Linked DNA regions of Mus musculus: all the other regions are reported to be linked to region 1. The links are microRNA targets in miRTarBase. Many come from high-throughput screens and were not tested one by one. Region 1 holds a microRNA gene; each other region holds the end of a gene's coding sequence.

The links. The annotated mature microRNA mmu-miR-1912-3p reads CACAGAACAUGCAGUGAGAACU and lies in region 1 at 2,027-2,048, shown strand. An mRNA with a match to its seed (bases 2 to 7 or 8) in the 3' UTR can be bound and repressed. Matches are read on the target gene's strand: a 7mer-m8 pairs with bases 2 to 8, a 7mer-A1 pairs with bases 2 to 7 and ends in A, and an 8mer does both.
Region 2: the mRNA of Mzt1 is a reported target of mmu-miR-1912-3p. Seed matches in the 3' UTR shown: 7mer-A1 at 1,949-1,955.
Region 3: miRTarBase lists Btnl9 as a target of mmu-miR-1912-3p. Seed matches in the 3' UTR shown: 8mer at 577-584.
Region 4: miRTarBase lists Ciao2a as a target of mmu-miR-1912-3p. Seed matches in the 3' UTR shown: 7mer-m8 at 566-572.

The regions. Positions count from the first base shown.
Region 1 is chrX:147,007,467-147,010,650 of GRCm38, forward strand. Mir1912 (microRNA 1912) reads left to right here and starts at 1,975; the gene lies at 1,975-2,061. The region is part of intron 2 of Htr2c (5-hydroxytryptamine (serotonin) receptor 2C); the gene reads left to right. It overlaps Mir1264 (microRNA 1264), which reads left to right and starts at 3,135; the gene lies at 3,135-3,184.
Region 2 is chr14:99,034,058-99,037,241 of GRCm38, reverse strand. It overlaps Mzt1 (mitotic spindle organizing protein 1), which reads left to right. Exons shown (of 3, transcript NM_175245.4): 3 at 732-2,698. The coding sequence ends at 752. Among named protein-coding and RNA genes, the nearest start is that of Mzt1, 10 kb to the left of the region's middle.
Region 3 is chr11:49,166,216-49,169,399 of GRCm38, reverse strand. Btnl9 (butyrophilin-like 9) reads left to right here. Exons shown (of 10, transcript NM_172793.2): 10 at 1-1,075. The coding sequence ends at 346. Among named protein-coding and RNA genes, the nearest start is that of Olfr1394, 7.8 kb to the right of the region's middle.
Region 4 is chr9:66,138,042-66,141,225 of GRCm38, forward strand. Ciao2a (cytosolic iron-sulfur assembly component 2A) reads left to right here. Exons shown (of 5, transcript NM_026635.3): 5 at 296-927. The coding sequence ends at 393. Among named protein-coding and RNA genes, the nearest start is that of Ciao2a, 13 kb to the left of the region's middle.

The DNA of each region.
Region 1 (3,184 bases):
GGCATTGCTACTGTAGGAGAGAGGAAATGTTTTAGGCTCATCCTCCTTTTCTTCATGGCAGAGGTATCTATTGCATGAGTTATTACAAAGTGAAAGGAATCATTATACCGTAACTCAATAGTAGAAGGCTTACAAGAAACTTTGATTTCCATATTTCCATCTTTAGTATTATGAGTGAGGAGGGGGGTCAGGAAAGTGACCATTCTTCCTTTGCCATGTATTCCAATGCCAACGCACCACATATTTGGAGTAGTTTGTCTGAAAGGTGACACTGTAGAGAAATGCTTCATTTTCCATTACAAAACATGTAAGCTATATTATTAGTATTTTATCATGATTAAGCTGTGCTAATTTTCAGAGATATGAATGGCATATCCATTAAATCATGAAAGCTCTTTCAAATAATACTTTGCAATTCTGCCTTTTCTAATATGAAAGTGGAGACTATCACATATCAAGGGAGTTTATTAAAGTGATAATTTATAGCTTAATGTATGTCAATTTCAACTCTTTCAATGTTAACAAATCTTGGCTCTAAAAGAATACTAATACATCAACTAAGAAGCAAAGCATTGTAGTCTTCTATTTTCCCCAAATTGTTTCATTTAAATATAATCCATAGTTGGTCTTTAGAATGATAGGGACTAAACCAAAATATTTTTCAAACCCAAGTTCATTTTGCAGATCATTTAGCAAGTAAATATTAAGGCTCCTGGTGATGCTATGTTGAACATATTTATAAGATTCAAAAAACAACTCCACCAAACCATCAGTGAAGATTTGTTTACTTGTCTTAGCACACCATTCCATATTTACAACTGTGCAGTATTTAGGGCTCAGCGATAGGACCTCAGGCATTTTCCTTTCCCCAGCCATAGTAATTCACACCCAGTTTGAAGTCACATGCTCTTGATGTTCTCTTTGTAACAGTATTATTTCAGTTGCCTAGATGCTCCTCATTCTTTAAGTCCCAGGTTATGTGTGACTGTTTCATTAATCTCCCATGATACATACACCAGCAACCCTCACTATTTAAACTCTGTCTCTTATTTTACTTGGCTCTGTTGTATTTTTACAGCATTATTCTTCTGCAATTATCTTGTGCATTTGTTCACTTCCTTATTAACTCTCTCCCTGTCCTGCCTATTTATTCTAAATTTGATTGTAGCCAGGACTTTAGTTGTTTCCAGACAACTGCATTGCAAGAAACTTGTTCATTAAAAAAAAAAATAGGTAATTAGTCATCACATAGCTACTCCATAAAGTCTAACATTTAATTCAGGGTCATGGAACTGAAAAATAACATAAAAGTTGTTGGGAACATTTCAGGAAAAAAAAACAGCACAAAAAATATTAAAAAACAAGACCTATGAGGAAAATACGTTGATTCAGGTAAGACCAAGAACCAGTTTTACTTAACTTTTTATAATTGACAGAGATCTTTGACCTATTAAAGTCTTTTATCTTTTGAAAAAAAAATAGCAAATTTAGTTACTGATGTCCCTGTTTAATAGGTATAAACTGAGACCCAGAGATTGAACTAATTTGTACAAATTCAGAGAAATATAACATGTAATCCAGGTTTTCCTTCTTCCTATGTCCAATATTTTTTTTTCTCATAAAACCATCTATCTACAGGATCACTAACCAGAGTAGGGAATTTAGTTTGGATGTAGTGAACAATGACCTTTTCTATTTGAGTTTATAAATTTTTATGTTATCTCAGGAGGTTCTCAAATATCAACCTTTATTTGTGGTAGCTATTTGTTTTCTTTATATGGTTTGAAAGAGTATGTAGTGCAATGGTAGAGGGTGACAGATTGCTAATCTATTGGTTCTTCAATTTCCAATATTCCATAATTCTTTGGTTAAGTTTTCCACTTTGCCAACTAATATTTCAAATATACTTAATATTTTTTAACTTAACAAGCTGATGACCCCTTAACAACTATTGAACTACATATCACAAGCATATTAGTCTCTAGGATGTGCTCATTGCATGGGCTGTGTAGATTTTTATTTAATACACAGAACATGCAGTGAGAACTTGATAGAGATTGGAAGACATCCAGAAGAATAAACCACGAATTCTTATAGGATAACTTTGTATTTGGTACAGATTAATTAACTAACCATCCATTTAAAGGTTTTTACTAATCCTGTCTCCAAACACCACAACCTAGATTCAAAAACACACTACTTGAACTTCCATATTGATTCTATTTTTATTTGTTACTTGATATTCTTCTTTACATAGATTGTTAAAATTTCACACAGAGTCAAAGTTAGCTTTTTAGTAGAATTATAAACAATAATTCAGATGCTAGAGAAATGGCTTAGCAGTTAGGAGTACTTGTTGCTCTGGCAGAGGACCAAGGTTCAATTCCCAGCACCCAAAATTTGGTTTACAAGTGTTTTTTAACTCCACCTTCAGTGAATCTAACACCCTCTGATGGCCTCCTTGGGCACTGCATGCATGTGGTGCACTTATATACGCAGGCAAAGCATTCACATGCATCAAAGTAAAAGAAAGACAATTTCCTCAAATATCCCATTGATTCAACAACATAAAACTTTTGTTTCAAATATATTATGACCATGTGTCAAAAATTACATTGATGACACATTAGATGCAGATGTTTTACATTATTAATGGGATATTAATAAATATGTCACCTGATGCTCACCTCATTCTTACATTTGAAACTTATTATTGAAAATATTCTGAATAGATATATGTCATTCATTTTAAATAGAAGACTTTTCTAGAGTAGTAGAATGATTTAGCTTGATTTGAAAGCATAGCAATCCTTGCACATTTAATACTTATAATTAAAACGTACTTGTTCTTGTTTTGGCATCTCCTTGTTTATGTAAGGAAGCAAAGCCAAACTAAATATGTATTAAAAAGTCTAATTGAAGAGCCAGAATAAAACACATTATAGGTCAGAAACACAACAGCTCTATATTTAGATACAACTAAGAACAAAGTAGAGATAAAAGGAGGTTTATAAAGAAAATGATTTAGTAATTACTTTTTAGAAATATTGAAACTTCTATGTCATATTGAAAAATATGGTCGAACTTTTTAAAGACAATGTCAGGATACATAGAACACGTTATATTTCTTCATGCCTGGCATATAGCAGGTCCTCAATAAGTATTTGTTGAAAAAATAAATGAA
Region 2 (3,184 bases), not on the chromosome of region 1:
TACTGCATACCATTCAGAAAAGAGACCAAGAAGGGTGATCCTGGGTGATGTCAGCGAGTCCTGAAAATACAGAGCTCATTGTTTCTCTAGTTTTAACTGTCATGCTGTCTCCGCTCCGTCTGTGCGTCTGCATCAGAACATAAAATGTAATTGGTACTGAAGGTAAAGCACTGAATGAAGCTGCATGGCTGGCTGTGTCAGTGAACTATGTGCAGCTTGGGACTGCGAGTTCAAGCGTGATTTCTCTATTTCTGAGTTCATTACAATAAAATTATTTCTGTTTTTAAGTAAAATACCATAAATACCTTTTAGCAAAAATAAAAAAGAAATAAAAAGAAGAAAAATTACAAATATCTTCCCTGTTTGCTGGTATTCTTTATTTGTAGCTTACTAGGTCTTTCTCATTATTAATTCTGTCTTTACACTATAGTAAAAAAAAACTAATGAAGACCTTGGAAAACAAGTTATGTGTTAACTCTTAAAGAAGTAGTACATTTTACATGATCTCTATTATATAAATGACTCCTTCTTTTTATAATCTGGCAGTAAATTTAAAATATCTGATAATACAACAAAAAATAAAAATCATTGTATTTTTCCAGTAAAACCAATTGAGTTGTGATGTGGAATAACTAGCTGTTTGTTAAATATGGTATAGGTAGATTTACCTCCATGGTTGTCTTAACTATGGTTTCTTAAAATAATGGATCTTGCTCTCTTGTTTTGTCTAGGCTGCTGAAAACACAAGCTGACTTCCAGAGAATTCCTGATGAGATATGTCAAGCTTAGCAAGAAAATTTGAAGATTCCATCATAGTCAAGATATAAAATGACAATGCTGCATGCTGAGTAGAAAATGTTTTCTTTTACAAAGAATTATAAAACCATGGCTGAGCATGTCAGTGGGAAGTGGCTTGAGCGAGAATCAGCACGTGTGTTTACATCACGTCTTGTTGTAATGGCCCCAACTCCAGAGTGTTGCCACACTTATTTATGTATATTTATAGCTCTGCTAGCTGTGAGTTTCTAAACAGCATCTACCCGACATGCACAGCTGCTGAGCCTGTTTGAAGTTAGTGGGTTGTATCAGAGGTGATGTGTAGTAGTTATGACTTGTTGACATTACCAATATAAACCTTAATTTTGAATTGTTTAAGCATAAAAACTGGCTGTGTGTTCCATTGAGCTGTAAGTTAATGGAATTTGAGCTGCTGTTTGTGAAGTTTTCTGTTTCACATCTTGTTTTTAAAAATAGGATCCAAAACATCTCAAATCATCTCCTTAACAGAATATTTTGTTTTTTACCCAGTTTTTGGCAGTTAAAGGTGTAAAGAAGATCATTTTTATATTGCCGAAAACTTAGAACTTTTAGAAACTTGGATTTTTAAAAAGGAATGCCAGGGCTTGACTTAGCATTATTTGTAGTTTGAACCATTAAAATCTAATAAGAACAGCTGAAATGCATTTCTCTGTAAATCTTATAACCACATAAAGGTCCACAAAATAATGTATGAAGTGAAAACAGCAAACATACAAAATTCCTTTTTAATGTTATTGCATAAAAACAATAAGCTTACTAGCGAATCTTGAGTGGCTATTAAGTCAGTACATAGGTGGTGTATTTCAACAGATTAATTCATGTTTTCTAAAGAAGTAGGATTTCCAGTTGTTCAACAAAAACTAATGAAATATGTACCAGTATTATTTGCAGAAAATGTTTGTAATTTTTACCATTAAAGCTTTTAACTCATTAAAATGATGGTCAAAGATAAATTTGAAAAGCTGGATGGAGTTGCTTCTGCCCCTGTTACAGAATCTCAGTGGGATATTTTCATGAGCTCAGTGTGTATTTAATCTGAATTTTTTGATTCTTAAATTGTTTTTGTTTTGTTTTGTTTTGTTTTTCAAGACAGGGTTTCTCTGTGTAGCCCTGGCTGTCCTGGAACTCATTCTGTAGACCAGGCTGGCCTTGAACTCAGAAATCCACCTGCCTCTGCCTCCCAAGTGCTGGGAGTAAAGGCATGCGCCACCACCGCCTGTCTTGATTCTTAAATTTTAAGTTTGATTCCATGCCAACCCTTTTTTATTTCAGAGAAGCCAAGGTGGTTTTAAGCCACTTAGTAATGAAGTAGCTGTTTCCTCTGCTCTGAGACTCATCTCGTCTGCTGGTCAGTAGTCCCTGCTGTCAGAGGCTGAGGCCGAGGAACGGTGACTCGCAGGCCAGCGTACGCTGCTTAGGCAACAAAGTGAGACCTGATCTCTACAGACAAAATCTTGATTGTGATTGTTTTGACTTTTTACATGTATGGCATCTTTACTAAGTAAATTGAAAGGTCTATTACAGGCATCTCTTCCAAGTTGGGAGACAGTAAGAACTTGTAAGAACCATTTGATTAGTGATATGCATATATTGTATATTATTTTTAAAATCAGAAAGTACTTTCTCAGATTTCACAGTTTGTATGTATTTCTAGACCACAGAGTTGGTTGGTAGTTTTATTTTTGATTTTGTAGATTAAGTTATGTGTGAAACAAACTAGGAAATTATATTTAGGAAAGATTATGTTTAGAGAGAACTTCCTAATTGTGTCACATTTTTAGATGTAAACATATTTTTAATGAGTACATAAGTAATATTTAAGAAACCAGCGATACATGTTTGTCACCAGTGACAAAAATAAAATCATTTTGTGTTATTGGCCTTGTCCTTTTGATATACTGTATACTTCTGTGGGTTCAGTTCTGTTTTTGAAGGTAATCTAAACTGAAGGAATTTACTGTGTATAAAAATGTTAAGATGGCTATGATGCATCGTATAATTACATCTTAACCCTGAGTATGGGTGGGATTCTTTTTTCCTGATAGTGAGGGGAAATTATAATAATAGCAGAAATTATTATAATAGCAGAAATTATTATAATAGCAGAAATTATTATAATAGCATTGATTTGGCTTTACGACTAAATTGACAATTCAGATAAATATTGACAATTCAGATAAATATTGACAATTCAGATAAATGGTTTTTTTTTCTGTATCTTTATGTGGAGAGTCATAAAATTTATTTGCATGTTCAAATATGTGAACATTTCCCAATATGTGAACCAAATATGTTTCAAACATTTAATTAAGAACTCAGTTCCTTGTTTCTTTAACTATTTTATGTTGTAGTGAAATATAATGTA
Region 3 (3,184 bases), not on the chromosome of region 1:
GAACCGCTGCGAGTACTTCGTGCTGGACCCGCATCGCGTGGCACTGGCGCTACGCGTGCCTCCCCGGAGGATAGGCGTCCTGTTGGACTACGAGGCCGGGAAGCTGTCTTTCTTCAACGTGTCTGATGGCTCGCACATCTTCAGCTTCACCGACACTTTCTCAGGGGCGCTCCGCGCCTACTTAAGGCCCCGAGCTCACGACGGCAGTGAACATCCGGATCCTATGACCATCTGCTCTTTGCCGGTTAGAGGGCCACAGGTCCTCGAAGAGAACGACAACGACAACTGGCTACAGCCCTATGAGCCTCTGGACCCCGCCTGGGCTGTTAATGAGGCAGTGTCCTGACCTCAAGGCCAGGTCCAAGCACTGTCCTGAACTCCTGGACAGCGCTTTGCTCTCCTGCAGCCAAAGCAGAGTCAGCAGAAAGAGGACAGAGAGAGAGGGCCTATACAGATGAATGTATATAATTATCTTTAAACAGACAAATGAAAGATTGTTTGTGTATATAGCAGGATTCTGGAGTGTGCAGTGTAGAAGATGGGAAAGAATCATAATTATCCGCTAATGTGTGTATAGTTCTGTATAGTGTATATGTGTGTGTGTGTGTGTGTGTGTGTGTGTGTGTAATTTTGTGGATCCTGCAAAAGTCTAGAAGTAATGTCATTTCATAAGCAATGAGTTCACCTTTGGCTCAGAATACAGTTTATAGCGACTTCCTTGATCATGTATGTGGCAATTCGAACATGAAATTCAATAATGGCAGTGATGTGGCTGGCTGGGGGTAAGCAGTGGTAGAGTGCTTGCCTAGCCCGAGGGATAGCACACATCTTCAACTTCACTGCCGATTTCCCCAGAAAAGTGCATTGGATCCCCCGCTCAGGTGGAGCAGGATAAGGATGGCAGGAATGCAGCGATACTCCTAAAACATAAACATACATATAAGTAACATTTACAAACAGAAAAGGCTATATTTAGCAAAATATAAGTATATACATATACTCATCTAATATCATTAATTTTAAAAGCCATGATTTTGAAAGAGAGCTAGAAGTGAGGCATAGGAGAATTTGAGGGAAGGAAAAGGAAAGGAGAAATTATGGAATTTTGTTACAATCTCTTAAAATTAAAAATTAAGATAATGTAGTATTAGGCAATAACTAAAACCCAAATGTATAAGCCCATGCTAACACTTTATTTTTCCTCTGTTTGCAAAGGAAGTCTTAGAAATAATTAAGTGAAACCTTTCTAAAAGAGAATGGGGAGGGTGGAATGGAAAAGCTATTAGCTTTGCATCAAGGAAATAATCAGTATAGACCAAAAAACAAAAAACAAGCAAGCAAACAAAAAACTGATGGCTGATAAGCCCACCAGGCAGTCTATTGAAAAGCAAGATGGCACCAATCTTATGTAGCAATCTTACATATTTCTTAAAATAGTGGAAATATAAACACAACTGAGAAAAAAGTGTATGAAATGATTCCTAATGATACCTGTAGACTGGAGCCTAGCATCATCATTATCAGAGAGGCTTCATCCAGCAATTGATAGGAGCAGACACAGAGACCCACAGCTAAACTTTAGGAGAAGCACAGTAAATCTCCTGAAAGGGAGGAGGAAGGTTTATAGAAGCCAGAAGGGTCAAGGACAAGGACACTGTATGAACAAAGCCCACAGAATCAAATAAGCTGGGCTCATAGGGGTTCACAGAGACTGAAGGGAGGATCAGGAAGACTACATGGATCTGACCGAGGTCCTCTGCCTATATTTTACAGTTGAGTAGCTTGGTGTTCTTGTGATGCTCCTAACAATAGGTGCAGTGGCTGCTGCTGGTTCTTTTTCCTGCTTTTGGGGCCCTTTTCCTCCTACTGGGTTGCCTTGCCCAGCCTTGATATGAAGAGATGTGCCTAGTCTCACGGCATCTTATTTTGCCATGTTTGGTTGATATCCTTGGGAGGTCTGCTCTTTTCTGAAATAAAAGAGGAGTGGATCTGGAGGAGAGGGGAGATAAGTGGGGGCTGGGAGAAGAGGAGAGAAGGAATCACAGTCAGGATGTTATATATGAGAGAAGAATAAACAACAAAAACAAATACAATTGTTTTAAGTAGGGGAAAGGACTTCAGACTCTTTCCTCAGCTTACTAGCATCCTCACATTCTTGGGAGAGCTTTTTCCTTTCTTAAAAGGCGCTCTCTCTCTCTCTCTCTCTCTCTCTCTCTCTCTCTCTCTCTCTCTCTCTCTCTCTCTCCTTTGAGACAAGGTTTCTATGTGTAGCCCTGGCTGTCCTGGAACTCACTCTGTAGACCAGGATGACCTTGAACTCAGAAATCCTCCTGCCTCTGCCTCCAAAGTGCTGTGATTAAAGGTGTGCGCCACCTATTTCTACTCCATATCTAATGTAAAAGTCATGGTGTTTTCTTCATCTTTTCCTTTTGCATGCCAGAGTTTTCATCTCCTTTGTACCAGTTTGCTGTAAACTCTGATAAAATTGTCCTTGAGCTTCCTTTAGAAAAATAAAGGAAAAGGGAAATGGGGATAGTACTATTGCAATGATAATTTGCAGGATGAGCCATGTAATGACATTTACATTTTCAAGGATGAGATAAGACATTAGGTCAAAGAAAAATGAATGGGAGCCCCCAAATATGAAAATACTTATGTGAGTGTTGATTTTTAGTTAGTGCCATAGTGATGCAGGGAAATATTGTTCTTCAAAAATAAGTGTTGAGAGCTTTAGAGATGCTTGAGGTAAACACAATGACTATTTTACTCTCAGGTGCTCCCCCAAACCCCAGAAAGCAAAGGTGGTGATTGATAGCGTCTCTGGTTAACTCATCTGCAGGGACTTGACATACCTTGAGGTAGGCTTCAAGTGTGTCAGATTCAAAGAGCTGAAGTGGAAATGTCTGGTTTCTTCGGAGACTCAGTTGTGTCATGTAATGCTTTTCTGGAAACTGTCTTATCAGAGGATGTTTTTGCTGAAGCAGACACGTAGAAGATGTTTTGCTGAGAACAGATATGTGATGATTTTCTGGAAGCTGCCTGGAAAGGGGTATATGATGTTTTGCTAGAGCAGATGCTTGAGAGAACATGTGATGTTTGGAGAAGGTATAAATACATCCCAACAGTGAACAACACTGTGTGGTATTGGTTCGCCTTGCTACTCCTTGCTGGTCTTTGTCATGAC
Region 4 (3,184 bases), not on the chromosome of region 1:
GGGGTTCAGTGTCCAGGACCCACATCAGGCAGCTCACAATCACTCAGAGCTTCAGCCCCAGGGGATCCAGTGCCCTATTCTGGCCTCCATATACACTTGTGAGCAGTGCATGTGTGTGTGTGTGTGTGTGTGTGTGTGTGTATGCCCAAGGGAAAAAAATCTTAATAAACTGTATGATGAGTTAGCTGTAAGTTCTCAAGGAGTTAAATGCTTTGCTTTAGCAGGCTGGAAAAATGCTGCTGACTGACCTCTCTGTCAGCACAGTTCTGTTAACTTTTGTCCTTGTGTTTTGCAGTCAACAAGCAGATAAATGACAAAGAGCGAGTGGCAGCTGCAATGGAGAACCCCAACCTTCGGGAAATCGTGGAACAGTGCGTCCTCGAGCCGGACTGACCCCTCCCTAAGAGCCAGTGGCTTAGAAGTGTTGGATCTGCTAGTTTCAATCCTTTGTAAGATGTAGAGGACACATGTTGACTAGATAGGTGATTTGTACCTCAGAGCTTTTTTTGTTTTTTGTTTTTTCGAGACAAGGTTTCTCTGTGTGGCCCTGGCTGTCCTGGAACTTGTTCTGTTGACCAGGCTGGCCTTGAACTCAGAGATCCACCTGGCTCTGTCTCCCAAATGCTGGGATTAAAGGTGTACACCACCACTGCCTGGCCTTCAGAGCATCTTTTAAGAGGATTCTTTCTGAGCAAATTTCAGTTATGAGGTAGATTCTAATTGTTCAATGAGTAACATTCTCAGGATTTCTAACTCAAGTGATCAGACAGAAAATATTTTCTAGTTATTATGTGTAAAATGTTACTATTTTTCTGATGACCATTCTGATACAACTGCTTTTCATGTCAAATATCTACTGTGCCCAAATGTATTTGATTTAAACCATTCTAAAATAAATATGACACGATTCTTTTAATGGCTCACCTTAGGTTTTTACTGAATTATAAATTCTAATGTAAACGTGAACTTTTAACAGGCATCTCCATAGCTGTGTTCTCTGATTATTGTGTAGAGTGAGGTCTAAGAATGGAAAGGTGAGGCCTGCTTTCCCTTTGGGAGAATGCTGGACCCATGCATTTAGAGTTGAGGGTCAGATGACTTATCTAGTTTTAACTAGTTTATTTTATGTGTATGATTGTTTTGCCTGCATGTATATATGTGTACCACATGCTTGCCTGAGGAGTTCAGAAGAAGGGATCAAATCCCCTGGAACTAGAATTACAGTTGTTAGTTGCCATGTAGGTGCTGGGATCGAACCTAGGTCGTTTGGAAGAGCAGTGTAGGTGGGTGCTCTTAGCCACTCAACAACCATCCATCTCTCCAGCTTCATAGTCACAGTTTTAAAGGAGTCTCCTCAAGAAGAGCGGAGGATCTAGCACAGTGAGAGTGTTGTGCTCTGCAAGGCCAAGTACCCGGGTTCAAACTTCCCCCCAAAAGAAGTACTGTGAGGTACTTGTTTGTTTTGTTTTTACTGAATTAATCTAGATGTTCTGAGCTTTCTTTTTTTCTTAGCTCAGCCTGATAGGGAGAAGAGTATACCTTTGGAGTGTGAAAGGGTATGGTAGGCGGCTTGCAGCAGAGCCTAATGTCCTCATCACCTGGCCTTTGTGCACTTGTACAGTCTCTTCCAGTTACAGCTGGTGGGCAGACCCAAAGAAATGGCAGAGGGACATAGTGTGACTTCTGAGTGCAGATTAGAATAGGTATTGCTGCTTCTGTCTTGGTCTTTTGGATTGCTCTCTCTGCCAGAATCTGGCCACTACAGCCAGAGAAAACTCAAGCATACCTGTGGAGACTTTCACAGGTAGAGGAGGCTACCCCACTGTCTACTACAATCACCATACACTAATTTTCGACCTTCGTGAACCACCGTGGAAGCCATCTTCCACCCACGGCCACTGTGTTAGGTAGATAAGAGTCTCATAGAAGACCTGGAAGGGAAGGGCCGTGCTAGAGACCAAATGTTTACTGTTTATTTCACTAAGGGCAAGGATTAGTTTGTTATGAAACACTAAGTCACAGAGTGCTGGGTGCCAACCCCATTTTGGCAGAAGGCTGGGGTGTGACACTTAGCATTCTGTTGAGGGGATTTTTAAGAAGTTAACTCAGAGTTTGGAGGTATGCTGTCTGTGGGTGAGAGAGACTCAGGACCATGTTTATGGCAGCCCAAGGAACAAAAATGGAACAGGGCAAGAGGCTAGGTACCTTGGAAATTTGGAAGCACTTTAAAAATGCATATATATTTTAAAAATTTTAAGTACATGTATGTCTGTACACCACATGTATGCCTGGTACCTGTGGAGGCCATAAAGGCCATAAAGATTCTCTGAAATTGGAGTTACACACGGTTGTGAGCTGCCACGTGGGTGCTGGGAATCAAACCCTGGGTCCTGCAAGAGCAACTGCAAGAGCAACTGCAAGAGCAACAAGTGCCCTTAGCCACTGACTTGTCTCTCTGGCCTCGAGTCTAACCACTTTGAGGGCAAAGCAGTGCCTGAGTGTCTTGCTGGGGTGTCATAATTGACACTGGCCAACAGGCTTTCTGCAGGGCAAGGAAGCCTCATCAGAGAGAGTCTGGACATGTGCCGCCGGGTGCCCAGGGACGTCTGCCCTGCTCTGTGCTCTCCAACCTCGTGCACACGTGTGTGCAAGCATGTGCCATTTGACCAGTGCTTACTTCTAGAACAGCCGTTCTCAATCTGTGGCTCATGACCTCCTTGAAGGTCAAATGACCTGTGAAAATGGGCGTCTTATATCAGATATTTACATTATGACTCATAACAAAATTATATTTATGCAGTAGGAACAAAATAATTTTGTAGGAGGGGGTAGGCACAGCATGAGGAACTGTATTAAAGGATTGCAGTATTAGGAAAGTTGAGAAAGTTCTAGAAGATAGGACAACCATTCTCGGAGAGGGTCTTTGACACTTGTGATGTTGGGGCCCAGGAAACAATACCCAATATGTGTTTTGACTGAGTACTGTAAACTAGGGAAACCAAGGTCAGACATGAATATACCCAGTGCTCAGGGCTGGAGAGATGGCTCAGTGGTTATGAGCACTGACTGCTCTTCTGAAGGTCCTGAGTTCAAATCCCAGCAACCACATGGTGGCTCACAACCATCCGTAATGAGATCTGACGCCCTCTTCTGGTGCATCTGAAGACAGCTACAGTGTACTTAG